Regions from separate parts of the Mus musculus genome. Here all the other regions are reported to be linked to region 7. The links are microRNA targets in miRTarBase. Many come from high-throughput screens and were not tested one by one. Region 7 holds a microRNA gene; each other region holds the end of a gene's coding sequence.
The links. Region 7 holds the annotated microRNA mmu-miR-181b-5p (AACAUUCAUUGCUGUCGGUGGGUU, at 2,000-2,023, shown strand). A microRNA usually pairs through its seed, bases 2 to 8, with sites in the 3' UTR of a target mRNA and lowers its output. Matches are read on the target gene's strand: a 7mer-m8 pairs with bases 2 to 8, a 7mer-A1 pairs with bases 2 to 7 and ends in A, and an 8mer does both.

Region 1 (4,328 bases), not on the chromosome of region 7:
CAGTGTTTGGTAGCTTGATTATTGGCTATGCCAGGTAAGTTCGGGGCTGCCTGTGTTGTTGCTCCACTCCACTTGGGGCAGAGTCTTAGCAAGTGGGAGTCTCCAAGTTGATGTTCTTTAACCTCCTGTCTCTCCAGTGACCTAAGTCAGAATTGAAGCATGCCACATGTGAACTTGCCGAGTTGCTAGTCTCCTTTCCTGCCCAAGTTCCCAGGGTAGCTGTAGGCTAGCCCCTTTCCTGCCCAAGTTCCCAGGGTAGATGTAGGCTAGCCCCTTTTGAAATAGTAGCACACTCCCCTCCCCTGACCTGGACCCTCACCCTTTTCTGTCTCTGGCAGGAACCCATCTCTCAAGCAGCAGCTCTTCTCCTATGCCATTCTGGGGTTTGCCCTGTCTGAGGCCATGGGACTCTTCTGTTTGATGGTCGCCTTCCTCATCCTCTTCGCCATGTGAGGCTCCCTGGGGTCACCCAGCCGTCCCTGCTGCTTTGACTCCATGCCAGTCCTGGTGCTGGAGTCTACTGAGCTTTACCATTAAACAACAACAACAACAACAACAACGTTTCTCTAAACCATGTGCCTGTGCCTGTCTTTCTACCCCGGGGGTAGGCGGCGTCTTTGGAATGGTGAGAAGTGACACTTGGGTCAGCCTTGGTGATAAGGCAGAGTGTGGAAGGGTCCCACCGTCTCCCAGGAGGATATGAAATAGCCTGGGTAATGATGTTGGTGCTTTGTCACTTTCAAGTTTAGCATACTGACAGGTGCCATTTCGTTGGGGGCGGGGGCGGGGCGGGGGCGGGGAGCGTTTTATTTTGTTGAGTCCTTAGGGCCATGCTGTGTGGCTCTGGCTGGCCTGGGACTTACTATAGACCAGATTAGCTGTGAAGCTGGGGTTAAAGGCATGCGCCCCCTATTGTTTGTAGCAGGTAACATTGTTGAGGAGCTTAACTTAGAACAAGCGCTGTGCAGAACAAGCGCTGTGCTGAGTGGTGAACCGCAGTCCTGCTAAGCATTAGCTTAAATTAAGCCTGCTTTACACGGGAGAGACCTGTGCTTAGGAGAGTTTGTGCAAAACCCTGAGCGGGGAAGGGGAGTCAGCGTGAGTTTAAAGGTGTCACACAGCCATTGCTCCCACTCGCCCTCAGTCCTGTTTTTATTCATGCCCCACAATTTAAAGTACTATGGAGAAGCAGATTAAAGATAGAGGTGTCAAGCAGTCAAGATGGCTCTGTGGTGTAAAGGCTTTTTGGTTTTGTTTGTTTGAGACAGGGTTTCTCTGTATAGCCCTGGCTGTCCTGGAACTCACTCTGTAGACTAGGCTGACCTCGAACTTAGAAATCCTCCTGCCTCTGCCTCCCAAGTGCTGGGATTAAAGGCGTGCACCACCACTGCCCGGCAACAATCTGTAATCTTTGCTTGAGCCTGAAAATGCTTTTTGAGGGTGTGGACTAATAAATTCCTTGGCGGTGTGAAGCTTCTTTTTCTGTGGCCTGTGCCAAGACCTCCCTTCGCCCTCATTTGGCTAAAATGACACTGATAGCCCAGGGAAGATAATGACTAGTCTACTGCCACTCCCCCCTCCACACACATAAAAAACATACATGCATCCATGTTTGTGTATGCAAACTGGCAGGAGGGATTGTATGTCCGTGCAGGCACTCAGGCCAGAAGGCCATCAGATCTGGAATTGGAGTGACAGGGAGATGTGTTACCGACATCTGTAAGCAGAACCCACATCTGTAAGAACACTTTGCGCTCTTTTTCTTTTTTTGAGAATTATTTAAATTTCTATTTCATGTACATTGGTATTTTCCCTGCATATATGTCTCTGAGGGTGTCATATCTCCTGGAACTGGAGTGACAGTTCTGAGGGCCATGTGGGGGGACTGGGAAGTAAACCCAGGTCCTCTAGAAAAGCAGCCTGTGCTCTTAACACTGAGCCATCTCTGCAGCCCCAGTATGAGCTCTTAATCATTAAGCCAGCTTTCGTGTCTGGAACAAGTCATTTTTTAATTTTTTTATAAGAAACCAAGAGGTGGTCCAGAGAGATAGCTCAGTGATTACGAGCACTGACTGCTGCTCTTCAGAGGTCCTGAGTTCAATTCCCAGAAACCACATGGTGGCTCACAACCATCTGTAATGGGATCTGATGCCCTCTTCTGTTGTGGCTGAAGGTAGCTACAGTGTACTCATGTAAATAAAATAAATAATAAATCCTAAATTTTTTTTTTAAAAGGAAGAAACCAAGAGGAGAGAACTTTGAGGGTGGGGCATCCTGCTGAGGTTGTATAGCTGGTTAGGAAAGCTACCATTCAAATTCTAGAACCTCTCCTTATCACTGTGCTGACTCATCAAGACTATGTTGAATGACCTGCAGCAAGCCTCTATTTCCAACCCAGGTCCACTTGACATTGACTCTGCATTTCTCGGCTTTGTTGTATATGGGGCCTGGTAGTATAACCCTAACACCCCAGTTTCCAAATAACCCCTCTGATGCTTACATTTATTAAAAAATGCCTAGGCCATAAGCTAGGCTGCTTCCCCCAACTAACTCTTAACCTATCCAGTTTATTTGAACCTGAGTTCATCTACATAACTGGTTTCTTTTCCTCAGTTTCACATGTCCATCTTCCTCAGCCTAACTCCCAGAATTCCTTTCTCCTGGATCTTCTACCTATTACTTCCCACCTTTTGCTAATAGGCCATCAACTCTTTATTGACAGGTGATGCTTCCACACAGCACATAAGAGATTATCCCTACACGGCAGTTTCAGTAGTTGTCTTGAGGGCTGTTTCTGTTCAGGGAGCAGTAGTCATTCCTAACATAGCCTCTAGATATCAACCAGAGACAGACGCCCTCTTAGTCGTTTTACCTAACGTAACTCCCTCAGAGTTACGGACCAGTGGTGGTAAATCCTGAGACAGCCTGGCAGTTTCAGGCTAAAGCAAGAGGACTGAAGGTGACCTGGCAAAGTGTCACCAAGGGAGCAATAGATTAACTGGTAATGCTGTTACACAAGCGGAACACCATAACCCTTGGGGATATGACGCTGGCACCTTTGACAGGTCACTTGCTCTGGAGGTAATCAAGGAACACTCCCCAGGGAAAGTAGTTGCTTTTTCCTTCCTGTGGAAGGCCAGGAACCTGAGAGACTCCTTCTATCCCATCGCAGCCTTCAAAGAACCCTGGAATTGGCTGAACTTAACAGATCAGCAGGGCTAGGACTCTTTAACAAGTGGACTCTTGGAGGGAGAATGCTTTCTTGTCTGCTATAGGCTAGTTAGTACCATAACCACTAAGGCTCTTCAACGTCTGTGACATATTAGCTCTGGTGCATGGATGAGGCCATATGGCTTAGTACAAAGATGTTTTGATCTGAGGGGTGGGTATGAGAATAAACTATGCTCTGAGAAGGGCATAGGAACCACAGTCAGGAGCTGATCATGAGGTTGGCAGTGTGGCTCAGTGGTAGCGCCTAACATGTTTGAAACCCTGGGTTCTATTCCTAGCTAGGGGGGCCAGGGAGATCAGGGATGCATGGGCTTAAGAAGCAAACAAATACAAATAGCCCTATCCTAGCTAAGATGTCACTGTCTCCCGAGTAGGGACTTCTTCATCCCTACAGTGGGGATGAGACTGATTCTTGATGATTGTAACAAAATGAAATATTACAGGTAGTATATGTAAATGAGGTAACATTTGTGTGCCCAGTTTCACATGCTGCTGGGGACCAGGGCAGCCATTCAACCAAGTGAATCAAATCCCTGTCCCCAGTCACATTATTTTTTTCACAGAGTCTCACTGAATCTGGAGCCCAAATACTTCTATTTTGTATTGTGTGTGTGTGTGAGGTCAGAAGTGTTACATCCTCTGGTGTTGGAGTTTCAAGCAGTTGTGAGCTATCCAGTATGGGTGCTAGGAACCAACCATGAGTCCTCTAAATTCTGAGCCACTATTCCAGCCTCTCACACCTAGCTTTTACTGGATATCCAAACTCAGACCCTCATGTGTGGGCAGCAAGCCCTTTATCCCACTGGAACCATCTCCCAGCTCATAAATTAAATATTTTTTACTACACTATTAAGCAGCTATTGTACATGATCGAGCTTGTTTATGCTAGTAATCCCAGCACTTGGAGTATGCAGGCAAAGTTGTCAAGAAATTCAAGGCCTGGGCTGGAGAGATGGCTCAGTGGTTAAGAGCACTGACTGCTCTTCCAGAGGTCCTGAGTTCAATTCCCAGCAACCACATGGTGGCTCACAACCATCTGTAAATGGGGATCCGATGCCTCTTCTGTTGTGTCTGAAAACAGCAATAGTGTGCTCATG
Region 2 (4,292 bases), not on the chromosome of region 7:
AGACATCCTTGCTGCCAGGCGAGCAGTGCAGGGGGCGCCTCAAAACCCTGCCGCTGAAGCTGGGTACTTGCCTCCCACAACCAGTGGGCCAATGGAAGAAACAACGCTAACATAGTATCTCATCGCTGCAAGGCTGCTACTGACCCCGAGGTTTACTGCCTCCAATCCAGGAGAGAGGAGCTTGCCAGAAGCTGGAGCTGAGTAGCCTCGCCATTCCTATTCCCGGTGGAGACTAAGACAGACAGTATCAGAGGCATGGCCTGGTAAGATAAAAGGGCTCTGGACCCCTCTGATGAATGCACTGACCTGTGGAAATGCCAGCTGTGGGGACTGAAGGAGAGAGATGAATACTGTCCACTGCAACCTTGGGGCCAGCACCAGCTCCGAGGACCAATGGCCATCCTACCAAGAAGCTTGTCTCCTTTGTTATTGTCATGGGCCACCTCTTTGCAGAGTCTTGGAGATTGTGGGCCCTCTGTGGAGTTGAGCTCAGTAGAGCAGTGGACACCATACCTCCAGAGGCTCTCCTGACATCACCTCTCATCTTGGCTGTGGACGGACATACCCAAGGTTCCTCTGCAGGTGTCAAGTCCTGCCTGTACAGCCGCGCAGGGCAGGCCATCGAGAGAACTAAGCAGTGCATGCTTTCTGCACTGCCTGTGTCGAGCTTGTCAGGTGTGCAGAGTCCATGTAAGTGCGCGTCAGCCTCATGACTGACCTGGTTCTCCAGCCTGAGACTGAACACTCAAGCTGCTGACACCCAGTCTTCTAGAACCAGCTACTCTTAGAAGATATAGAGGAACCGCAAGGTTCACGGCCACAGGCCCAGCCCTGACACGCTAGGCTCATTTCTCTCCTCAGCTGATTTTAATTGGGTTCAGAAGACTGGATGTCTATAGTCCCATACCATGGACTATAGTTGGGAGGCACGGAGTCCTGGGCTACGGTTTGAGGGTAAGGGTGGGGTATCACACAGTTATCACACCATCAAAACAAACAACCAGACACACAGAAGTCTCTAAAGACATTTTAATGTATTTTTTAATAATTTTTGCCTCATCTATCAGATAAATCATCTAAATAAATAGATGCTATACAGTCTTTTACCAATATCAGTACAAAAATAAAACTGCAGCCTACACCTGCTTACTCTTCCCATCGCACTCCCCCCGGGGGAAGGCCTATGCCCAATTCCTCCCAATACATTCAGGTCGTCTGAACAAAGCTCGTAGCTCATTCTGTGTGCAAAGGAAGCGGTCTTGCGCAAAGACCTGGTGGCCAGGTCTGGCCCGCCATTTATAAAGCAAAATCGATACCACCTCGCTGACACCGAGCTACTTCCTCGGTAGGCAGGAGGTGGAAGGAACTTGGCAATAAGATCACCATCTTACCAGATGAGAACCACGTGGGCCAAATGGGCTCAACTGTGGCACTGCACAAGTGTCCACACCAGAGGTTGAGGCACATCTTCACCCCAACCCAGGGAGGGGGAAGTTCAACCCAACCTCTACATTCAAATATGCAGGGGGAGGGGTTAAGAGATAGGCAGGTGGTCGCCACTGCTGGCTCATGGAGTACTGGCCCTGTATGGGGTTAGTGTATGTGGGTGGAGAGGGGGCGTGTTACTGTCCACTTGGGTAGCTTCAGGCTAGGAGAAGCCTGTGTATAGCCACTCGAAGCCTTCTGCCATTCTCCCTAGGCGGCCAGTTTCCAGCAGTTCAGAGCTACATGGCTACCCTGAGGGATATCCAGCCTAGTCCACAATCTCCAGGGACTGGTGGGTTTCATAAAGGGCCCCGTGAGATAAAAGGTCACCGCCTACTGCAAAAGACAGAAGGCAGCTGCTTGGAAAGCCCCCCCTGGGGTCTCATGATCAAAATTCAAATTGTACAGGCATTTAGTCCCATGCCCCTAGGGATGGGAAGCATGACACCGAAGGGATTCTGTCCCCCAATATGGTGGGCCATCAAACCCAGCAGCAAAGAAAAGCTCCAGCCACCCTCACCTCTCTGGGAGCTGGGGCTTCAAGAACACCAAGGTCTCCCCACCTCCAGGTTCCTGTAGCCTACTGGCTGAGGTTCCTGTCTCTCCTCTCTCTGGCCCACCCAGACATCCTCTAGATTCAGGTCACCCACAGATGACGGCCACCAACGGAAGCACTGAGTTAACCCTGGACCATTAAGACTAAAGGAGGGGGAGACCAGGGACTAGAGAAGGAAGAGGATAGAGTCGCAGACAGACACGGGGCAGGGTAGTGTTTAGAAGTCATCCTGCCCTTGTTCATACTGACTCTGCTGGCCTCCTAAAGACACAGCAGAATTGGTAGCTGCTAGGACCCAGCCATATAGGTTCGTATGGTAGCAGCGGGTGTGTGAGCAATGTGCTCTCGACAAGGGAGGGAGCCGTCCTCAGGTAGGAAGCTGTCAGCCTATAGGGCACCTGTGCAAACCAGCAAACCGCACCCCCCCCCTTGCCAAATCAGGACCACACACTTGTGTGCAACCTGATTCATGTTCAACCCCCACAAGGTGGGAGGGGTCATCCATCCTTAGCCATGCCATTCAGGTTGGGTGGGGAGGGGGACAAAGAAGACAAGGACTGCCCTGAGAAAGTGGTGGGACACTCCCTCCCTGACTGCCCACATACCACTGGCACCCATGGGTGCCCAGATCGGCTGATTGGCAGGAGAGGGCAGAGAAATTGGGGGGCGGGGCTGGAAAGTCACCTGAGTCAGAAAGAATGTGAACTCCTGTGGGAGGAAGGGTGGGCCAGGTGGCTGTGAGCCTGTGTGGAAGCATCTGCACCTTGCACACCAAAGCCTGGTCCAATTGGCGGCTCGGAGATGACAGCCGACAGATCCTGTCACATGACCTACGTGCAAGGCGGAGCAAGGGTGCCGCGGCAAGTTCTGTTTGTGCTGTGAATGGTGTCATGTTCAACTGGTCAGTTTTCTAAAGGTGTGCATGTTGGGGTGTCCGGATGTGTTCATGGGCATCTCTACACAGGCCAATGGCAGGGAGACAGCACACTCGGAGGAGGCTTGGTGGGCAGCCTCTTCCCTGGTCCAGCCCGTGCCGGTTGTCCTGATCCTGTCCCCGGTGGCCAAGGCCGGCCTCTGTGTCCCACCACAAGGCTGGAGTGGAAAGTTCATAGTAAAGACCCACGGCAAGGGACAGGGAAGGGACACCACCAGAAAGCTGGGGTGACTGCCTGAGGCAAGGTCTGGACCTCCTGGGCTCCTCCGGCTCCACGGATCAGCCTCTGAAAGATAATGACAGAGGCGTACTGGGCAGGGTAGCCTGTCCCCATCTGCCCAGGAGATGAGACCCAGACAACACTGGCCTTCCCCCCCTGTTTCTGAGGCCTCTTTGTAAACAACCGTCGGGGAGCAAGGGCGGGTGCTGGGGTCTTCCCCGTGCTTCTACTTTTTTAAAAAATAAAAATATTTACCCTGCTCCCAGCCCCTCCTGTCTCTGGAAATCCTCACCCAAGCCCCAAGAAGCACAGTTTTAAGAGGGGAAGCCGCTATTCACAGCTTCTCGTTGCGGTCTCGGAAGAAGCCCTCGGCGGCTTGAGCCTCGCGGAAGGTGACGGTGACGGAGTTGGCGGTGATGTCAGTCACGGTAACTTCACTTGAGGGGAGCGTGGGTGTCCAGGGAGGCGGCCCATTGGTCAGGTCTGCTTCTGCTGCAGCCATGGAACAAAGACACGGGTGAGGTACAGGCACCACTCGGCACCGAGTGGGCAGTCAGAAGTCGTGAATGGTAGCACGCTGCCCATCCCCCCACACGCTTGAAGCAGGATGCTTTAGGAGGGCGCATGTGCACCTGCCTAGCTAGCTATAGCAGAATGGGCAGGGGCCAGGTCCAGTCAGTCCTGCCTGCTCCACTGTTGGGTTTCCAGGCCCCCTGGACAGGGGTCAGGGACCTTCCCGGCTTTGAGGTCTCAGGATGGCTGACTTACCCTCCTCCTCGGGGGCTTGCTCCATAGGCTCCCAGTCTCCGGGGGTCTGCACAACGTCTGGGGCTGCTGACTCCTGCAGGGAGAGCTCCCGTCGATGGCTGTGACTCTCCAGGTGGGGCCCGCGTGGCGGGAACTTCTTGCGTGAGAGCCGCAGGTACTTGTGGGCTTTGCGCGCCTTGCGGAGCGGGAATGGCAGGGTGGGCACCAAGGGGCCCTTCTCCACCAGCTCAGCGACCCCTGCCTTGACCACCCCCATGGGGCTCCCGCTGCGGAGCGGGCGCGCCAGAGAGAAGCAGAGCTTCTCATTGCCCTTGGCTTTGTGGGAGCTC
Region 3 (4,362 bases), not on the chromosome of region 7:
CGTAAGGATTTAAGGATAACTCTCCTGAAATCTGTTGCAAAAACGGGCATAATTGAAATGGGCCAAGCTATAGCCAAGGGTGGAAGGAGATTGTGTGCCGAGGTTATAGGGAAGACAGGCAGAATCTGCTTGCAAGATCCTCTCTGATATCAATTATAACCTCCCAAGCCAGGACACAAGAAGGCAAGAGACAGCAGGTATGTGATAGAAATAAAACCACTTTACTGTTTAGAATAAAGGACAGCTATAAAAAGTGAACACTATGCAACATTACAAGACAATATACATTCACGGAATATAAAATTCATAAATAACATGGAGGAAAACTGTAAACAGTGCTACAAAATTTAGCAACAAATACATTCCTTCTAGAGGGGGTTTTCTCTGGCTGGTGTCTCTTCATCTCTACTGGGCTTCAGCACAGCTGGCTTGCTAGAGGAAAAATAGACAGAGAATCTAAGGTACCCCTGTCCCCAGAGCATGGTCATTTCCTCGGGTTCTCTCCTCCTCAACCCAAACAGCCGACTTAGATCTACTGAGACCTCTCTCTCCTGCCTTCTCCCATTTCATTGGATTTCTACCATCAGACTTTATTTTTTTTTTAAGTTTCTCTGATACAAATACGAAAGTGATATTTTTATCGTTAAGTAGCTGGGAGCCAACTACCTGAATGGCACCTTGATGTGAGGCAGGGAAGAGTAATGCCTCCTGGACTCACATTATCTCCCAGACAGATCTATCCCCAAAAGTCACTATGTTCTTTGTCGTTTAAGAAGCACAACATGAGACAGTGTTTATATGGCAGAGCTAGGACTGGAGAAAGTAAACATTGGAGTCTCCTTAAGCTCCACATCCTGGCTATAGAAGAGAGCTATCCTGGGCAACAGGAGCCTGAGCAGAGGAATTCCTTGGTTGGGAGACAGAAAAGTTGCCTGGATGAGACAAAGAGAGCTTAGAATCTCAGTTGCCATGGCTCTGGACTGCAGAAACCATGACTTCCTGGTTGAGTAGGAGAAAGGTCTTGGAAAGTGGGTGGCAGATGACCTAGGGATATTTGATACAGGACAAGAACTTGAGTGTACTTTTGATTTCTGTTTTGTTTTGCTTTTGCTTTTTTTCTTCTTCTTCTTCCCACCCTTAGGATTCTATGGGGAGGAGGCTGGAGGAGTCTGTTTCTAGTACCTTCCATTTCCTTGAATCTCCATTCTAGCTGAGTGGTGATTGTGTCCCAGTAATTCTGCCCTCCATTCTACTGTAGAATTTGAATCAGAAAAAAAAAATGGCATGTGGGTTTCTTTCTTTTTTTTTTCTTTTCTTCTTCTCTTAGACACAGTGTACACACAACAGCCTACACATGGCACATGATTTAGCAAAATAAAACATTCACGATATAATTGAAGTATCAAAGTGTCTCAGCTACATAAATGATTTTAAATTATACAGTAAGTGAACAGGTGAAATAAACAAAGCTATAGCTTATTGAAAGCTCAAAAACCGCTCTCCGATGATGTAACTTTACACAAGACCCTTTCGTGGCCAGTACTTCTCACCAAGACCTCAAAAGCCGACTGGGGCCATTGGTTCTGCCCATTGGTTTTATCTTCAGGTGCCTCATACTTAGGCCTCACCTCAAGTCTGTCCATGTAAAAGGGAGGTGATTACCAGGGATTGAGAATGGCCCGATGCTGGATTAAGATGGAAAAGATGTTGGGGTATACATATGGGAGGGCACTTGAGTAAGATAGATCAGGAGCGCCATATTAGGAAACTCTGAGGTTGAAATAGACAACTTCCAACAGTAAAGCCAGAGGTTCAGCTCTTAAGAACCACTGGCTTGCTGACCTCAGCTCCTTCTCTCGGCACACCATGGAAATGGTTGTGCCTTCTGCCCCCTGTCAGCACAGGGGAAAGATGCAAGGGAATGAAATCAACCAAGAGAAAACTTGACACCCATCTCCTGAACTGTCTTCCTGCCCTGCTCTTCTATCAAACACCTGGACAAAGCAGTGGTATGTGTGGGGTGGGGACAGACTAGAACTTGTTCTCTCTCTCTCTCTCTCTCTCTCTCTCTCTCTCTCTCTCTCTCTCTCTCAACTGGTAACTGTGTTTCTAAAGTGGAATGAAAACGATATGATACTAATAGAGGATAAATACCCATAATCTGAAAAAAGACAGAGTAACTGTGTTAAATGTCACCACCTTACTATCTCCAACTCTGTGCAATACACTCTCACCTACTATTGGCATTGCAATGTTGACACTAAAACTTAAAATAATCTTATTTAATAGGAAAATTTATACTGTACTTTTATTTAAAAACAAAAATACAACACAACAAAAGGCCTACATTTGGACGGCAGAGCCTGGCTCCCTCAGTAACCAATCATGTTCATTCTATGAGGTGACCACCTCCGGAAGTGACTTCACCCATTACTGAGCTGGGGAAGAAGTGTATGCTGTCCCCAGATCCAGGAGAGGAGTCATTCCACTGTGCAACTGCCCCTTTCATGAGAAGGCCCTAACCTAACACTCACACTCCCCTGCCGTCAGCCAGCCAGTAAGGCAATTAAGTGAAGGGCACCCCGAACAGAAAGCAGAACAAAGAAGGGAGATGGATGGTCAGATAACCCCAGTTATAGGGACAGTAGGGTACTGAGTGTGGTCAGAGTTTCAAATTTTAATTCAGATAATAAAAAAAAGTCAACTTGGAATGTCACAATTTCCCATCAAACAACAAAAGAAAAAAAGATTAAACTATTTGCATATTTAACAGCATTGAATAGAATTCTGTGTCCTATAAAAAAAATTAGCTCATAATCCCCCGTGGGTATATGCAAATGTATATATAAACACATCCCCCTAGATGAGCTAAACACTACTTTGGAAATAGTATTCTCTATCCAAATCTACTTGACTATATCTGTGGATAGTGTCAGGTGTGTGTTTCTCCAACTTACAGTTGGCAAGCTTCCAGCCAAACTTCCCCAAGAATTCCTAGGAGACTGTCTCATGGGAGGCAGGAGAGGAAAGACGTTCATCTCAGCCCTTTGAGTTTTTTGTACAGACGGGCAGGTTGCCTGCTGAACCCAGGCAGATGTTTAAGCCTTTGCCAGCTCAGAAAGTTCTGTTACTCTTGGATGCTTGTTCCAGGATCTGAAACATGGGGTCAACCCAAGTATCACAGGGCTGGATAACTGTGAGACCCACTCCTACAGTCTGTCTCTTCTCTCCCTCTGACATGCACACATAGACAGACTGTCTGACCCAGACATACAGTTGTATATCCTCTGTGTAGAAGACCTTTCAAATACCTGGCGTCTGTCTGCTTGCTGCCTTTGACTGATTGGGAAACAGTTGGACTTCTGCCAACTTCCTTATCCATGTTTCCTGTGTATTGGGATGAAGAAGTGTATATGGAACTGGGTCTAGGATGTGGTCAAGAGAGGAAGAAGAAAGAAGAGTAGCTTTAAATGCCCCAATGGGATAAATTTTTCAATTTCTGTTTTCCTAAAAAAATATAGATTATATATCATGAAGAAGAGGTGTATACATGCCTCGTTCTTTCTGGCTTGGCACCAGAGATCCCCAGTTGGAAATGGGTGATGTCAAAACCAAAAAGAAGGGGTAGGGGCGGGGCCAGGAAGGTATTTCCAAATCAACTCCATAGACAGCAGAGACTTTAAGTGTCCCCAGTGCTAAATTTGCAAGAAAACAGGCACTAATTTCATTGTCATCATCTGGGAAGAGTTAGTGTCTGGGACGCTCGGCGGGATGGGAAGGAGGTGAGGTGGGGAAGGTCTGGGTTCAGGGGTCTGTGGCGTTGCTGATGCTCTTGTCTGGGGGAGCCCATCCTCGGTACCAGCTGCAGTAGCCACCCTTCTGCCGGATGCAGGCGTAGTGTTTGGACTGATAGCCAGGGTACCCAAAATTGGAGAGCATGTCGGTCCAGAGACACTCATTCTTGGAGGTCACAAAACAAGGCAAGTAGTAGCAGGACTTGATCTGTAATGACACGCAAGCCACAGTTAGGGGACTGCACCATGGCAGGCCCTCCCTGAATTCAAACCCAGGGGGTTCCTGCCCTTTAATGCTACCAGATTAATAACACTAGCTATAAGCTCCCATTGAGTGTCTACTGGGCACCAGACATACTGTCTCTAAACTTTTGGTACACTTCTAAATCCCCTCTATAGATGAATAGAGACTCTCAGAAAGGTTAAACAGCTCATTCCAGGTCACACAGCATTTGAGTCTCAGATTAGATGTGGGAAGAGGCGACTACCACTGTTGTAGGAAATGGAGGAGTTCAAACAACAAAAGCAAGACTGGAGAGATGGTTTAGTGGTTAAGAAAACTGACTGC
Region 4 (4,362 bases), not on the chromosome of region 7:
GCATCCTTTTGGTAAGTCTGCCTGTCTGTCTGCCTGTCTCTCTGTCTGTCTCTGTCTCTCTGTCTGTCTCTGTCTCTCTCTCTCTCTCTCATACACACACACATACATACACTCACACACACACACACACACCTGGAGCCTCTTAGTTATTTGTTTGTATTATGCATTATTTTATACAATGATTACTTCAAGGCACTTACAACCCAGTTTTCTTTTCTGCTTTACCCAGGACAGAGCTTCCACTTAGACGCTTGCCTCTTGCCTCCTCTTCGCTCAGTCTTCATAACTCTTTCCTTTTGCTAACCTCCCCTCAGGTGGGGTTCCTTCCAGGGCAGAATTCGCCCCTTCTTTTTTTCCTGGTCCTCAAGCAATTTACTTTCCTCTGGAGCCACCCACTTCGTTTAGACACTTTCCTTTCCAGAGATCAAATTTAAAGCCCTTCACTCCGTTTATATCATCTCTCTTTCTCCACAGCCCTTGTACGAAGTCGATGACTTGCGAGATGCATTTCGTATGTTGGGATTTTGAAAGCAACCTCCTGGAATGTCACACGTGATGAAATTTCTCTGAAGAGACTGGATAGAAAAACAACCCTTCAACTACATGTTTTTCTTCTTAAGTACTCACTTTTATAAGTGTAGGGGGAAATTATATGACTTTTTAAAAAATACTTGAGCTGCACAGGACCGCCAGAGCAATGATGTAACTGAGCTTGCTGTGCAACATCGCCATCTACTGGGGAACAGCAGAACTTCCAGACTTTGGGTCGTGAATGATGCTCTTTTTTTTCAACAGCATGGAAAAGCATATGGAGACGACCACACAGTTTGTTACACCCACCCTGTGTTCCTTGATTCATTTGAATTCTCAGGGGTATCAGTGACGGATTCTTCTATTCTTTCCCTCTAAGGCTCACTTTCAGGGGTCCTTTTCTGACAAGGTCACGGGGCTGTCCTACAGTCTCTGTCTGAGCAATCACAAGCCATTCTCTCAAAAGCATTAATACTCAGGCACATGCTGTATGTTTTCACTGTCCGTCGTGTTTTTCACATTTGTATGTGAAAGGGCTTGGGGTGGGATTTGAAGAATGCACGATCGCCTCTGGGTGATTTCAATAAAGGATCTTAAAATGCAGATGAGGACTACGAAGAAATCACTCTGAAAATGAGTTCACGCCTCAAGAAGCAAATCCCCTGGAAACACAGACTCTTTTTCATTTTTAATGTCATTAGTTTACTCACAGTCTTATCAAGAAGAAGAGTTCAAGGGTTCAACCCAATTTTCAGATCGCGTCCCTTAAACATCAGTAATTCTGTTAAAGGGATCAAACATCCTTATTTCTTAACTAACTGGTGCCTTGCTGTAGAGAAAGGAGCAAAGCGCCCAGATCCAAAGTATATAGTTATCATAGCCAGGAACCGCTACTCGTTTTCCATTACAAATGGCAAATTCTTCCCCGGGCTCTCCTCATAGTGCCTGAGACGGACCACGGAGGTGATGAACCTCCGGATTCTCTGGCCCAACACGGTGGAAGCTCTGCAAGGGCGCAGAGACAGAATGCGGCAGAAATTGCCCCCGAGTCCCAACTCTCCTTTCCTTGCGACCTTGGGAACAAGACTTAAAGGAGCCTGTGACTTAGAAACTTCTAGTAATGGGTACCTGGGAGTCGTTTGAGTATGGGGCAGTGATTTATTCTCTGTGATGGATGCCAACACGGTTAAACAGAATTTTTAGTTTTTATATGTGTGTGATGCTGCTCCCCCAAATTGTTAACTGTGTAAGAGGGTGGCAAAATAGGGAAAGTGGCATTCACCTATAGTTCCAGCATTCAGGAAGCTGAGGCAGGAGGATTGTAAATTTGAGGCCAGTCTGAGCTGTAAGGTGAGACCCTATTTCAAACAACACAGCCAGAATTGGGTTCTGGTAAATCATACTTAACAAGGGAAAAATGCAAGACGCAAGACCGTGGCAAGGAAATGACGCTTTGCCCAACGAAATGTAGGAAACCAACATAGACTCCCAGTTTGTCCCTCTTTATGTCTGGTCTCCCTAACAACGATCTTTGCTAATGAGAAAAATATTAGAAAAAAATATCCCTGTGCAATTATCACCCAGTCGCCATTATAATGCAATTAAAAGGCCCACAAGAAATCCTGTATACACGACCGTTATTTATTGTATGTAAGTTGCTGAGGAAGAGGAGAAAAAAATAAAGATCATCCATTCCTTCCTGCATCTATCCCTGTTTTTTATGTTGCTGCGTGGCATCTATTCTGAAATATTAAAGTGGGTGCCTGAAGTTTCATAAATTTGAAACTTTAGAGATTACTATATATCTGCACTCGTCATTGTGATCATCCAAAATCGTAATGATTATGGCTCGGCAGCTGTGCTCTTGATTTTTAGCAACTCCCACCCCCACCCCCACCCCCACCCCCACCCCCAACCCCCACCCTGCGTGCAGCAAGTTCATCCTGGCTTATTTTAAATCAACTGAATTCGAGATTAAAATGTGAAAGTTTTGGAGATGAACTACTGAATAAAATGATGTCGGGAAAAAGCATTTATATATTAAAGTCATACAGATCACAGGGAAGGTGGCGCATGTATTTAACCCCCAGCATTGGAAAGATGGAGGCAGGAGGCTCTCTGTGGGTTTGAGGTCAGCCTGATCTAGACAGAGTGCTCCGCAGATAGCCACACAGAGAGAGCCTGCCTTAGAGAAATAAATACCTGATGAAATAGAATTGAATTGAGAGTCCAGAAATTAACCCACTCAGCTATGACCAACTGATTTCAGATAAAGGTCCAAGGTGTACTGAGTCAGCAAACCCTGCTGGGGCAATCTGACATCAGGTGCAAAGAGTGCAGTCCACATGGTGACACCTGCCTGTCCCCTACTCGGGAGGCTGAGACAAGAAGATCAGTAGTAGTTGCAGTAAATCTCCACCCAAATATGCCCTGGCAATGAAAACACAACTCAATTAATATGAATACATGCTGTGCGCCTAGATTGGGCAGATCTACCGCTGCACTACCATCTTCTCCATCTATGAGACCCTTTAGAACTTGCGGTTTCTAAGGTTTGGGGGTATAATTAGCCCCAGGGCTATCCACAACACTGTCCTAGGCGCATTTCCTAAACACGAGCTTATTCATAAGCCCAGCCAGAGGGTTCACATTGCCCACAACACACCCTCCTTTCCTACCACATAACCAAAGCCCAAACTCTAGAACTGGTTCTAACTGGGAATTCTCATGGCATCCCATAGCATATACCCCCTTCTCTGCAGTGAGCAATATGTCCAGTATTTCCTGGAAACCATTGGTACACAAAACTCTGAGTCACCAACACCCGCTGCTCTGTCTACTGAACTGGCTTCCAATGTTAACTAATTCATTTGAGTGTGTGTATTAGTGTGAGTGTGTGTTAGTTACTTTTGCTGTTGTTGTGATTAAAACACCATGACCAAGGGCAACCTAAGGAAGAGAGCGTGTGTATCTTGGCTTATGCCACTGAGAACGAAGCCATCACTGTGGGGTGGAGGCATGGCTTCAAGTGTCAGGCATGACGTGAGGAGCAGGAAGCTGGGAGATCACATCTTTAACAGCGAGTGCCAAGCAGAGAGGGAAACTGGAAGTTAAAGCCCACAAGTGATGTGCTCCCTCAGCCAGGCTGCACTTCCTGAACACCCCAAAACAGCGCCACCTACCTAGAACCGACTTTGAATATCTGAGCCTATGGGGACATTTGTCATTCTAACCACTGTTGTGCACTGTTGTTGCACAGTGAGCCATCTTGCCAGCTCATATTCCACAATTTGTATTTCATTTTACCAATGCTCTCTCTGTAGTAGTGATAATGATGACTGTTCCCTTTTTTGGTTTTGCTTCGTTTTGAGATTTCAGTATTTTTCTCAAGTTTTATTTTAAGTGATGTTAATTACAGCGTTTGAAGGGGAGGAGCTAATTCCACTCAAAATGGAAGACTCTATAATGTACCCATTAAACTGCTAAAAAAAAAATAATAATAATAATGGTAAGTCTACAAGAGGAGTCAGTTTAGACCCCTAGTGTTGTCAGAGTGTGACCACAATCACCTGCCCAGATCAGAGCCAGAGAACCCGGAAGCTATTTCATACTCTGGTGCAATGGGGGGGGGGGGGGGGGGAGAAATTTTAAAAAAACAAAAAGGAGGAAGAAAAACACACACACAACACAAGGAAGAATTAAGTCCTGATTGACTGACTCCATCTTGCCCACCCTCTCCACCCTAAAATGGCACAAAAGAAAATACCACACCTAAAGACTACTTTTGGTGTAAAACAGGTAACTGATGGGCTAGGATGGGAACAGGGTATG
Region 5 (4,362 bases), not on the chromosome of region 7:
GTAGTGGGAGCAGATGTGCAACAGCTGCATGGACCAGGGGTGCTTATTGCCTCAAATTTTGTCAAGTTTAGGAAACTCGGGGGCTTATTTGGTTACAGAGACTAAAGTTTCATCAAAATCTTACACATCATTTAAACACCAGCAAACAGTCATAACAACTTTCTAATTGTGTGTTTCTGGATAGTCAAAGTGACTCCCTACCACCCTGTGTCCAGCAAGGGAGGTTTATGGCGGGAGAAGACACACTATCGTTAACCTATAAAACCTAACTGCTTGTCCTTAGTGCCCAAGGGAAAGCTGAACGCTTACTTTCTCAGTGCTACGTATCATGAATGTGTGACGGGTTCTATACACTCAACGAAGATCAATTGGACAGTAACAGTAGCCTAGAACAAAAAAAGCCACTTATTGTAATAATCCTTCTCAGTTTACCAGAAACCATTCTGACCAAATGAGACAAAATTCCATTTAGACCTTGTCTATTTATATCTTAGTAGCAGCACTCCACCCCCAACCCCCAATTCGCTTACCACAAAGAAATACAGTGAACACACACAGGTACCCAGGTGTAGAATGTAGTGTTTCTTGCAGTGCCCACAGCAGGTGCTTTAGTAGCCAATGGTGGAACAGGTCTAAATTAAATTACCCTTTCATTCCAGTTCATACCAATATTTGTGTGTTAAGAAAAAAAAATTTGTGTTATTTCTTATTGAGCTATCAAGCCTGACATGATATTTTATATGTGCAGCTGATTCATTTACGAATTAATTTCTCAGTTCACAAATATCTCAACATTGTACAAAATGAGAACTCATTTGGTAAATTCATTTTCAAAATAAGAGTTGCAACGTGGAGGTGTGGCTCAGTTGCAGAGCCCTGATTCCATCTCCAGCACCACAAAACAAAGAACCAACCAACCAACCAAAAACAGCCCATGGCAGCCTCTTTAAAAAATGTTTTCTGGCCGGGCAGTGGTGGCACACGCCATTAATCCCAGCACTTGGGAGTCAGAGGCAGGTGGATTTCTGCATTCGAGGCCAACCTGGTCTACAGAGTGAGTTCCAAGACAGCCAGGGCTACATTGAGAAACCCCGTCTTGGAAAACAAAAAACAAAAACAAAATTTCTACTTTTACATTTTTAATTTCTACAATTAATTTACTCATTTTTTTTTAAAAAAAGCTTTCTTTTAAGTAGCCCAGAAACAGAAACAGTCCTGCAGGCAGACTATTAAAGCACAACGATGTCTCCTTTCCAGAGTATAAGCTGTACAAGGGCAGAGATGCCTTTCTCTTCTAAGCATCCCTCTGGTCCCAGTGCCTAGATGCATTCCTGGCCCCTGGTCGGAAGCCTGGAGGGAGAAACACTGACATTCATACTGAGGGTTGGGCTGCAGGCTCTGCCCGACTGTAGGGCTCTTGCTGAATATCTCTGAGGCCGTGAGTACCATCCCCAGCACCAAGAAAAAAAAATTACAACCAAAATATCAAAGACTTATTTCATGATATTCAGAAGCAGTCTTACCTTATCGTTCTAAAATTGGTATTAAATTTTATGTCTAGTAAAGACAGGCTTGTGTATTTTAAAACCCCACAGAACTAAAATAATAATAAGCTAAATACCAATGTAAATCTTCTGAAAATAAAGTTTTTCCACCCAGATGTTGATTTGGGCATAATGAATTAAATAGACCACTGGAAGTAGCCAGATTTCCCTTCTAAATTTTTTTAAAAAATTTATGTCAAGAACATTTGAATTTTAAGATAATAAGCCATAAACATCATCATTTGTATCTAAGGGAAGATGTCTTTTACAGTAGATATCTAAGGTGCTTTCGGTGAATGACATCACAGCGTCATCATCAAACATGCAAAGCACAACATTCCTATTTGGTAGAACTGAGTAGAAAATCAGTGGAAAGAGAACACATCTTAGTTTACAGTATCCATGACAGGTAATGTTTCTCAAATGCATTTATACCTAAATGAAAGGTAACTCAAACTCAATGTTATAAAGACTTCTTTCTTTCTTTCTCTCTTTCTCTTTCTTTCTTTCTTTCTTTCTTTCTTTCTTTCTTTCTTTCTTTCTTTCTTTCTTCCTCCCCTTCTTCCTTTTTTTCTTCCTTTCTTTCTTTTTTTTCTTGAACACAAAGAAGGTAATTTGACTGGAAGCCAGACATCACCATCATGCCAGGAAATGGCAGCACAGAAAGCTGCTGTGGGGCTCACTCTCCAGGGACGGCTTCAGACTGCAACAGGCAGGGAATGTACTGAAGGATGGCTGGACAATGCTTCTGTCTTTCAGAGTGCTGCCTATTCCCGCACACCAAGGACTCAGCTATATATTTATATATATATATATATGTATAATACATTCTATCTTACCCTAACCATGTATACTTGCCCCCTTAATGCCTCTACTACTCATTAGACAATGATAAATAACCACAACATGCCCTTACCTGTAATGCTCAACAGAACTTTGGTAACACTTGCTCTCTAAGGGGAAATCATGAATCAATCACATGCCTTTGGTTGACACCATCCATCCTCCAAAGGGCTGCTTATGGCTCTCTGTCCTAGGACACTGGCGTCTGACTACATGTGCTGACGTTTTGCAGGAGGTAAAGCTTTCGCTTTCGTGATGTGGAAGAGGAAAGACACATGAACGCATGGCACATGAATGTGACTTCTCTTGATTCCATTCCAGTGTGTTGATCTGAAGCTAGTAACCAAAGAGTCCCCTTGCTTTTGCTACGTGCCTTCCAAAGCATCGGGAATTTCAGGTTTTCCTGAAAATATATTTCATTTTCTGATGCAAGGTGAGCAGAAATGAGAAGGTGAAGAGAACACATGGAAACGATCTTTGATCAAACCCAGGAAATTTGGGGAATTTGCATTGATTCTGATGGGCTCAACTCAGGGCCTGAGTTGAACTGAAAGGATCTTGCAAGACAGCCTTGGATTTTTCTAAGGTAATTTATATGTGGTTGTTGATAAGCAAAAACATGTCACCAGAATAATAACACCTACTGTAAAAGTGAGGTTAGAAGGTCCCTTGGGTCTTGTGATCGAAGTTAAATAAAATAGGCAACTACAAGTTTTGTTCTTGGAAGCTCTATGCAAAGGCTATCATTCATTCACCAGTCAACAGATACGCTAATTCTTTTTAACGTCTGATTTGCAAAATTAGTTTAACTACAGAAATCCCTGTCCTATGAGCCATAGTTCATGGGTGTAAAACTTCGCAGTTTGTATAGATTCAGTAGAAGAAGATTCTTTTTAAATCCTAAAAGTGAATTACGGAAATTGGATAGACAGTTTTTAAAGAAATGGTTACATTCAGAAATAACCTTGGGAAGTTCACCGAAGATTCTTCCTAGTATGAAAAGTCCTATCGTAGTCTGGTCCCACCTTGAGAACTCCATTCCAGTTTCTAGTGCAAGACCTCAGTACAGAGCTGTCCACTGTTACTGTAAGTACCGGTAGACCTTGAAACAGTGGTTTCCGGAGTCTGCAACCACAACATGGCCATCTGAAGTGAGAGCCAGGCCCTGGGGGCCATAGAGCGGGTCAGCAGATGTGTTGATATAGGACAAAAATGATCCACTCCCATCAAAAACCTGCATAGACATAAGACCAGAGCATCAGGGAAGTTACATATGCAGAAGGACATGCATTTAAAATAAGGAACGCATGTCAGGATCCTTCTGAGCTTGCTCAGGCTGCTGCTGTGCACACAGAGTATTGATGGTTAACCTTGGTTGTTGATCTAGTTGGTTCTAGAAACAATGATGAGATGGGTTCTAGAAACATCCATAAGTATGTCTCCTAAAAACATGACCTGGAGGGGAAAGAGGTGACTCTCCCTCGGTGTGGGCAGAACCTCCTTGTTGTGGCCCAGGCCTAAGGAGATCTGGGAGAGAAGTTGCTGCTTTTGGCCTACTGCTTTCTGTCCCGGCTGGTGGGTGCATCTGCCTTGTTGGTGCATCTGCCACCACTGCTATCCTCATTTGCTGACACTGGAACCCAGCTTCTGTAACCTTCCAGGACAGGCTGAAGACCTGAGGTTCTCTCGAAATCCTCTAGGGCAGTGATTCTCAACCCCTTTGGCAAACCCCTATCTTCAAAAGTATATTACAAGCAGTTACAATAGCAAAGCTACAGTTGTGAAATGGCAACAATAATAATTTTATAGCTGGGGTCACTGCAACATGAGGAACCGTCTTAAAGGGTCCCAGCATTAGGAAGGTTGAGAACTACTGCTCAGGGCCTAGAGTCTAGCCCTTAAACTGCCATGTGGGGACTGCTGAGGCAGAGGCATGGTGGGCTGAGAAGCTCCCAGTGTCTCGGCCTTTTCAGCA
Region 6 (4,362 bases), not on the chromosome of region 7:
GTATTGCACCAACATCTGTCTACTGCTTCTGACTTCATTAAATAAGTTACAATAATACAGTGTGGAACAGCTGGCTGCACACCTAAACAACTGAAGTTAGGACTGGAGGCCTATGTTGTAACCATTCAGCAGCTGTAGTGTTTTAAATGAATTTATAAATAAGCAAACTGTACAGGGCCCATTAGAAAGCATGTTTCAATGTCACTGTAGAGCAATCTGGCCACTTACAACTGAAGGCATGCATTACAATTATCATACAGTTAGAGAGGCTATGACATTTTGCAGAGAAATGTGGAGACTTGGCTGATGGCTTCTGTTCTTGGATAAGGTTTCAGAACCTCCTTCTCGCAGCAAAGAAACCAACTTCTCTGGAGAGGCTCTCTGATTTGTTATGCTAAATTGTACATTTGTTATTATTTTGATTGAACAGCTAAAACCCCACTGGTAATACACATTTCCTCCACATCACACAGTGAGTTGGGGACTGTTTCTATTTTTCTTTTCCCCAACCTCAGTCATGCAGAGGGCTGGTAGATGTGTTGCTAACAACGCACATGCACGCACCCGAACACCCTTATATTTCTGCAAATGGTTTAGGAAGCGGTTACTCCAGTATTGCTGAAAAGGAAAGAGAGAGGAAATCAGCTTTTCGAAACGTAGAGCAATGTTAAGACACAACAACAGGGACAGACAGAAAGAACACTGCATTTGGTCTAGATGCAAAACCAGCATTTCTGACGGAGTGTTCCAAGTGCTTGCTGCCCAGGCACATCTAGAAGCAGTGGCTTGGTGACTGCCCTGGGCCGCCTCCTACCAAAGTTCCAGGAGGCAGAAACTAGAAGGCATGTCAGGTACAGGGCTGAGAGCCATGCAGAGGGTGAGGCAGGTGGAGCAGTGAGTGGCATGGCACCAGGGGAGAGGCCTTCCTGTCCCTCCCTGTTCTCTATGGCAGCCAGTCCTGGGCTACAGGCTCAGCTCTGCTTTGAAGGTTTCCCAATTGCAGGGGTCAGTCCTAATGGAGTTTGGCAGCTCACGACAAAGGGCAACCATGCTTTTTGGCTCTGCGGCTCTGCAGGCACCGAGCCAATGCTGCCATCTTAGATGTTCCTGAGGCCTGTGCCATTGTTGGGGCTGAGACCCTATTTTGAGGGTGCTGTGATAGCAGCTGCTGTGAGATGGCTAGCCTTCTCCAGCCTTAGTAGCCCTGCTAGCTCTCCGGGGAGGCCACCACCTGAATTTTGCTGAGTGGGCTGCAGGGTGGAACCTTTAGACAGCTTTGCTGAAGAGGCCATTCCGGGAAAGTTCAAGGCTGGGGTCCAGGCTAGACTGCCCTAGTGGGTTGAGCATGATGCTGACACAATAAATGCTGTCCCTTCTTGAGGGTGCTGGGTGAGAGCAGGGCTGAGGACATGCAGGAGGTGGCCTGTGGCTGGGACTGTGCTGTTGGCCTTGGTCTATGCGGGCCAGGGGAAGGTTTTGTCAGCCTTGCTTGTGGCTGGATGGGTCAAGTGTTAGTCTATCTGTTGGGGTTGAACAGGTCCCAGTAAGCAACACAGCACTCAGGGATGAGGTCCATTTCCTTTAGGGCCCACTCATTCGTAAACGGCACTGAACAGCATGGTGTTAGGGCCCAGCACGCTATCATTCTGATTTGGTCTTTAACTCAGCTGTACCTTTGTGTTTGGCCCACTCCATCAAAACCTGCCTGCTTCCTGAGAATCACTGCTCCCTGTAGCACACAGAGGCCTCCCCAAGGAAGGGTCAGTGCCAGGTTCCCTCAGAACCTGGCACTTTCTCCTGCAACTTAGGGAGGAGGTCGCAGTCTCCAGGCCTCTGCACACCAGAGGGTTGAGACATGTCCTGAAGGGTGACAAAAGCTGCCTATGCGGAGTCAGCTGGCTTTCCTAGTCTTCCTCAGCCACTGAAAACCCATAGCCTTGTGACATGGTTTGTGTCCAGTCTCAGTTTGGTACTAGAGGTGACACAGCTCCTTCAGCCTGAAGTCAGCCAGGTCCCAAGGCTCTCCTTCCCACAGCTCATAGGGATCGCTGTCCTGGTCAGTGTCTACACTAGGGTAGCCTGTGTAGTGAGTGGCTGCCTGGTGGACACAGGAGCCATGCAGCTCACTAGCAACAGGGGCCAGCTCATCAGTGGCACCACCTGTACACAGGCCACAGCACCCCAGTCCCACAGGGAAGATACTCACGTTAGTTGATGGATGTTGGAAGGCATTGGAGGAAAACACCACAGTTAGGACTGTTAATGACTCACACTGCCGTTAAGACTGACCTTGAACATGCGCAAACGTTCATCAGTCATGGTGGTGGTGGTTAGTGCCATAGTCAAATAAAAATATTTCTATACAATATGTTCATTTGGTCATGTGCTATTTACAGATTTTACAAAACATACACACACATAAACACACACTTGCCCTTACACCAACCTACATACAACGGGCCAGCAGAAACTTGAGTAATGTATATCACATGACAGATCGTGCCTATACATTATAAATAAAATCCTACTATGCGGCAGAACAGGACTCTTCTCAGAACAGGAAACTAAGGCTCTAAGCTGAGAAGCTCAGAAATTTGAACTGATTATACGTAATTCAAGGCCATTAAGAACAAGACAGTTATTTTTCTCTGTCCATTTAAAATGTTTTATTTTTCTTTTAAACTAGATTGTGAAGTGCCATTGAATAGGCAATGTTGGCAAAACAATGTCTGTTACAATAAAATACATTAGACATTTAAATAAATAACCTTAAAAACTAGGCGAAGGGACAGAAACCCAGTCGATTGGATCTGGAGCAATGTTTTCTGCACAAGCGAGACAGGCAAACCTCTCGTGAAGACGGATGTAAACAGAACCATCAGACCTACAGAAGAAGCCGAGCAGGCTGGGGTGGGCTGGGGGTGACAGAGGCTGAGGGTGCAGGAAGTGGCAAACCAAAAATACTGACTGAGGTAGCAGGACTCTGCTCAGTGCAGAAAAATTGGCTTATGAATAAAAATTAGACTGTGATACCAAATTAAATCCAGAGAATCATGCAAAAGACACAATACATGCTATTTAGTTTTTTTTCTTTTAAAAACCACACACATTCATTTCCTAAGTCTGCTGCCAATTAATTTGCTGACAATGTCTGCTGGCTCAACTATCTTTGTACAAGTATGAGTATTAAACAGAACACTGTACATGCTTTTTCATCTACAAAAAAATATCTGCATAAAATAGTGTTAGTTCTCTGTACACGTCAATGGACACTTTAATTATGTGTATAAAAAAAGGAAAATCTTGTCCCACTGGAGTCAGAAAAAGCAAAACAAAATCTAGATATGAAACCTCCTTCACCAGCCAATATGTTCATGTGAAAATTCAGCAGAAATAGACAGTTGCTTTAAACAATAAAAAATTAATTGATTAAGTTAAACATCTTCTGTATGTAGCGCTGTCAGTCAAGACCAGAACATATCGCTAAAGTTAGTGTCTGTGCTGTAGACCCAGACCACCAGGGGCATAATGAGCAGCACAAACGGCCAGGAAATGCCATCGGTGCATGCCGACAGGGAGCAGGAAGATTTGGTGGCAGGCTGCACACACTCTTTACCGGGTTGTTCCAGGTAGTTTCGGGCCACAAACTTGAGCGTCTCATCCATGAGGATCACAGGCAAGGAGATTTTCAGCACCATCAGCCACTGGGTCAGATTCAGCGGTGTGATCTGGAAAATGAGCTGAGACAAACAAGGCTGGGTCAAGCTTCTGGCCCTGCCTGAAAGGAACTACCCCAGACCCCGCCCGGGGTCCATCATGACTCACCGGCAAAGGTTCCACGTAGAGGATCAAGAAGTGAAGTGACATGGACAAGCAGATGGAGCCCACGAGCCAGATATTCTCCCAGGGGGGCATCCTCAGCAAAGACTGGTTTTCAGACAAGCTACAGGTGAGAAGAGAAGTGACCTCACCAGAGGCAAAGGCATGCGTCAGTGACACACAAGCAGGCAAGGGTTTAGTGATGCTACTGCCTGCTGACCTAACTAACTCTAAAGGCCTGCTTTCCCCAGTGCGGGGAGCTGGAGGCTTTGGTGCAGCAGGCCCATCTCAGCAGGCTCAAAGCTGCTGGTGATGACCCAAGGTAGAGCCATTTGGAAACTTGTGTCCATCAGTGGCTTGGTTAGATGGAACTTCTTGTGCTCCACTCTCTAGGGTACAGGCATAGTCTGGATTGCTGGTCCCATTCATACACCCTGCCGCATCAGGAACCCATGATGGGGACAACCCCCACTGTTTCCTGGGGAACAATAGCTTAAAACTATGTCATTTTTTGTGAGGGAAGAGCTATCAGCCATGATTTTC
Region 7 (4,362 bases):
AGTTTAAGTTATTGAGAGGTTTTTCTCATCAAAAACTATAGCCATGAGAAAAGTACATGTTTCATTGGATAAATAGGAGTTAAAATATGTCAGTGATGTGATGTTTAATCTAATTTCTTACTAAACACCAATCACTTTCAATCTCCTAAGAACTTCATGATAGTATTCTCCGTAATTTTATTCTAAGAATTTGAGAAATTTGGACTTATATTTTCTACAGAGAATTTTAGAAGGTTCTGGAAACCCCTCACATTGCGGTGCTTTGCTATTAATTGTGATTCGGATGGAAATTGCTTGATCGTAGTTCCAATTTTGTATATTGAGATAAGGCAATGATCATGGCTTAGAGTCTCAGCTCAGCAGCCTTGAAAAAATGATATCAAAAGCAATGACAGGTATGTATAGAAGCAATGGGATGCTGGCCTGAATATGATAGTGCAGTGGTCAAGCAAGGGAACATGAGCAACATGCATTCTGGTGAAACTGATAACACAGATGGTCCCAGGAAGACTTGCTTTCCTTCCACAAGAGACAGCCCTCTGCAGGAAAGCTATCTCAAAGGAAGCCACACAGGACTATTCAGATTCATCAGTTTTATGTCTTGTAACTATCTGAAGTCTGAATGCATGCCATCAGCAGATCGTTACCTTATCTACCTCAAAATACCAGCCAGAGACACTTGTCCTGTAATCTCTTCGTGTACAAGATAATAAATGATTACAGGTTTAGCATACAATATTCTAAGTAAATAAAATGAATATGTATAAAAATTTGGACTGAATGGTTCACCAATATTTTATTAATAGTTACACACACACACACACACACACACACACACACACACACACACACACACATATATATATATATATATATATATATATATATATATATATATATATACTTATTAAAGCCACTTAAGAGTCTACATAAGTATAATGTAGTAACTTTCTACCCTAGTTTTGAGGAGTACAAAGGGATTTTTGTTTAAGTTGATATTTGAAATCAGTTTTGAAGACATGCTCAATAGAGTTCATACTAACTTGTAAATGCACTTCATTTCAAGAACACCTAGGAAATGGATAGAAGTTACTGCCAGATCCACTCAATCAAAACAAATAACAATATTAGGATATAATAACCAAAGTGAGAGGAGTTGAATTTCAGGCAGTAGGCATAGGTTGTATTAATTTTCATTGTAGTTTAAAGTCTTGTGTCATAAGCAAAGAAAGATGTGCTAAATTGGTTTGATTCCTTGATTGTTTTAAAAATAAGTATGTTTAAAAGAAATTATACTAATTAAAATGCCTATTGTAAAATAAATGCTTATTCCATGCACATTGTAAACATAGAAGTTCAAAATTGTTAGCAATGTAACTTGAGAAAACCTAAGTGGTTTCTGCTTGATTCTGCATGACCTACATGCGTCCTTGCAGTTCTTATTATATACATACCAATATTTAAATTATGAGATACTTAGATACTATTTGTTTTGCTTTTTGATAGTTCCAATTTTGTTGAATGATAAATTCTCCCTGTCTTTAACAGCCTGTAACTAAGCTCCCCCCAAAAGGACTTTTCTTCCCTTTTGAAAAAAAAAAATCCGATTCTTTTCTTTGACACAGCACAAAGTGGAGGTTTGCCAAGCTCTGGGCTGGAGGAATCCTGCTTCTTTTCTTCTGTACTCTTTTGAAATGGTTTAAAATGTGTGACAGGTTTGGTTAAAGGATTGGGCTTTCCTCTGCCTCCCTCCTGCTCCAGACTCCCACAGATACTGTTTAAATCAGCACATCTCTGCCTCACAGGTTGCTTCAGTGAACATTCAACGCTGTCGGTGAGTTTGGAATTCAAATAAAAACCATCGACCGTTGATTGTACCCTATAGCTAACCATCATCTACTCCATGGCCCTCTGCGTTTGCTGAAGACAGAACCGCAAAGCAGGACCCGACAGGATTCTCCCCGCCTCTTCAGAGACTATGTTTACAAAGGTCACAATCAACATTCATTGCTGTCGGTGGGTTGAACTGTGTAGAAAAGCTCACTGAACAATGAATGCAACTGTGGCCCCGCTTTTTGCTGTCGCAATCAACAGACGTTCCCTCCCTAATAGAGGTCCTGGGGGTATTAACGCCGTTTCTCGGTTTAACTTCTGCTGTCTGAACTTTCAGGTTTGTTTATTCAATTCATATCAAGTCCTATTTCTGTGAGGAAGTCACTAATTTATATAAGAATACTGCTTTTCTATACTCCTGGGGGTTACAAATGGGGCATTTCTTAAAAATGCTAAAGTGTTGGATGCCCAGAATCAACTGTGTAGCCCTGGGTTGGCACGGCTTCCTGCTCTGCTGTGCTGGTGGGAGGAAGAACCAAAGAAATATCTTACTTCCTGCCCCGTTATCCGTCACATTGTTACACAGAAAATAACCATCCCCTCATCTTTCATTAGATTTCTTGGTCAAAATGGGCTTGAAGCAAGAGGGAATTCTTTTGCTCTGCATAAAGAATCGCTGAAATGGCTCTACTCTCTATGGAATTGGTAGGCAGAGGGATAGTACCTCAATAGCCAAGTACTTTGTTATCCAGGGGCTCATTATAATCATGCAATAGATTTGTTTCCCCAGAGAGACCTCAGATTTAAGATTATAGTTCATCATCTTTATTTACCCTCTACTTTCTTCTGAAATGGTAGACTTGATTCCAGGGACTGTCTTCAAGCAAGTGTGTGTGTGTGTGTGTGTGTGTGTGTGTGTGTGTGTGTGTGTGTGTGTTTCCTAACTAGTTTGGCTCTATAATTTCAAAAAGAACATCTGTCATTAAGGTTCATCACCTCCAATAGTAAGTACAGTGGTTGGAGTTAATATTTATAACAGGATGTTCAGCATACAGTGTGTACATGGTACCTAGTACATGGTACCTAATAGATTTTAATTCGTTGGGAAAAAATCTATCAAACATATTGTCCTTTCTCTCTCTTGATCAGTTTATTATGATATACATTCAACTCCCACTACAGAAATCCATTCCTGGGACCTTGCTCTAGTGTTCAGAATATTCATTCCCACAGTATTTTACGTAGTTAGTTCACAAGTGCCTGCCTTGCTTGGGGCATCTCTATCTATCATAACTCCTTTCTCCCACCGTCTGTTTCGTTCCATTTAACGTATGACAAGGCTCTAATCTCAACAAAAAACAAGAAGTTCAAAAAAAAGTTTCTATTCCTGCTTCATTCACTGAACAGCCCCCTTCTTTTTTCTATCTTAAAAAGCTATGAGTTTGGAAACGTCACTTAATTAGTAACCTGCAGAAGAGTCTCTATTTGTGTGTTCTCTCATTACTTCTCTTCAGCCCACAATTTGACATCTTGAAACATTGCTCTCTCCCAATTGTGCAGATTTTTTTTTAATGGAAGCTGGTCTTGGTGAAACCAAATCACCAGTATTATTCCACCCCTGGTAGCAAACTTCCTACTCTTCTTCCATAAAATCATTCCCTTTAAGTTCCATATTTAAGTGGATCCTGCGGCACTGGCCTCTATTTCATTGATTATAAATTCATCCAGGTATATATTTGTTGATAAACTTTTCTAAGCCTGGATAGTATTTCATTTCATATGTGTATTTGTGTGTGTATGTGTGTGTGTGTGTATTCGTATATATGCTAAGGTAATGGAGATATGTAGATATATAGGTATATGTGTGTGTATACATATATGTGTATATATATATGTGTGTGTGTGTGTGTGTATACCTATGAAAACATCCATAATGTCAGAATATTTTCTCTACTCATTCATTGATTGAAGGACACTTTGTTACCAAAGCTTGGCTATTATCAATAATGTTGAAATGAAGAGAGTACAAATACCTCTTTGATATACATATCTCAGTACACACACACACACACACACACACACACAGAGGATGTAGGGATGTGAGGACATATAATTTAGGGATACTATTTTCATTTTTTGGAAGACATGTCATCCGGTTTTCCCAAATAGTTGCACTAATTTACATCTAGCGTTCACAGTGGTTTCCTGTGTCTTTATTCCTTTCCATTACCCTCTTAGCTCTTGTCACTTGCTACCATGTATTTGATAATGTCCATTCTAACAGGGGGTAGGCATAAAATGATTATGATTTCAATGTGCATTTACCTGATGGGGTGACAAAATTTTTCCACATATTTGCACTTTAAATTTTTAGTACATTATTTATTATTATTTATGTTTCTTTAAAACAGTCTGAGTGTTTGATGTGAATGATATAAAAGTCAATTTGTAAAAAAAAATTCTTAAGATTGTACTGTTCATGTATATAGGCTTGAATTCAAAGCATAATAAAATATTAAATTTTAATTA

Region 1: the mRNA of Atp5g1 is a reported target of mmu-miR-181b-5p. The part of its 3' UTR that is shown has no 7-base or 8-base seed match.
Region 2: the mRNA of Cbx7 is a reported target of mmu-miR-181b-5p. Seed matches in the 3' UTR shown: 8mer at 1,509-1,516 and 8mer at 1,202-1,209.
Region 3: the mRNA of Timp3 is a reported target of mmu-miR-181b-5p. Seed matches in the 3' UTR shown: 7mer-m8 at 1,380-1,386, 7mer-A1 at 359-365 and 8mer at 284-291.
Region 4: miRTarBase lists Aicda as a target of mmu-miR-181b-5p. The part of its 3' UTR that is shown has no 7-base or 8-base seed match.
Region 5: the mRNA of Trim2 is a reported target of mmu-miR-181b-5p. Seed matches in the 3' UTR shown: 8mer at 3,336-3,343, 7mer-A1 at 2,369-2,375 and 7mer-m8 at 1,369-1,375.
Region 6: miRTarBase lists Atp2a2 as a target of mmu-miR-181b-5p. Seed matches in the 3' UTR shown: 7mer-m8 at 3,107-3,113.

The regions. Positions count from the first base shown.
Region 1 is chr11:96,069,229-96,073,556 of GRCm38, reverse strand. Atp5g1 (ATP synthase, H+ transporting, mitochondrial F0 complex, subunit C1 (subunit 9)) reads left to right here. Exons shown (of 5, transcript NM_001161419.1): 4 at 1-34; 5 at 339-764. The coding sequence ends at 453. Among named protein-coding and RNA genes, the nearest start is that of Atp5g1, 4.2 kb to the left of the region's middle.
Region 2 is chr15:79,914,790-79,919,081 of GRCm38, forward strand. Cbx7 (chromobox 7) reads right to left here. Exons shown (of 7, transcript NM_144811.3): 5 at 3,964-4,036; 6 at 3,488-3,687; 7 at 1,018-3,261. The coding sequence ends at 3,530. It also overlaps a transcript of Apobec3 not described here. Among named protein-coding and RNA genes, the nearest start is that of Cbx7, 16 kb to the right of the region's middle.
Region 3 is chr10:86,345,345-86,349,706 of GRCm38, reverse strand. It overlaps Timp3 (tissue inhibitor of metalloproteinase 3), which reads right to left. Exons shown (of 5, transcript NM_011595.2): 5 at 202-4,002. The coding sequence ends at 3,805. All of the region lies in intron 6 of Syn3 (synapsin III), which reads left to right. Among named protein-coding and RNA genes, the nearest start is that of Timp3, 47 kb to the right of the region's middle.
Region 4 is chr6:122,561,946-122,566,307 of GRCm38, forward strand. Aicda (activation-induced cytidine deaminase) reads left to right here. Exons shown (of 5, transcript NM_009645.2): 4 at 1-11; 5 at 475-2,235. The coding sequence ends at 528. Among named protein-coding and RNA genes, the nearest start is that of Aicda, 10 kb to the left of the region's middle.
Region 5 is chr3:84,161,629-84,165,990 of GRCm38, forward strand. Trim2 (tripartite motif-containing 2) reads right to left here. Exons shown (of 12, transcript NM_001271727.1): 12 at 1-3,621. The coding sequence ends at 3,469. Among named protein-coding and RNA genes, the nearest start is that of Mnd1, 8.0 kb to the left of the region's middle.
Region 6 is chr5:122,453,687-122,458,048 of GRCm38, forward strand. Atp2a2 (ATPase, Ca++ transporting, cardiac muscle, slow twitch 2) reads right to left here. Exons shown (of 20, transcript NM_001110140.3): 19 at 3,826-3,943; 20 at 2,638-3,740. The coding sequence ends at 3,465. Among named protein-coding and RNA genes, the nearest start is that of Anapc7, 33 kb to the left of the region's middle.
Region 7 is chr1:137,964,651-137,969,012 of GRCm38, forward strand. Mir181b-1 (microRNA 181b-1) reads left to right here and starts at 1,989; the gene lies at 1,989-2,068. It overlaps Mir181a-1 (microRNA 181a-1), which reads left to right and starts at 1,805; the gene lies at 1,805-1,891.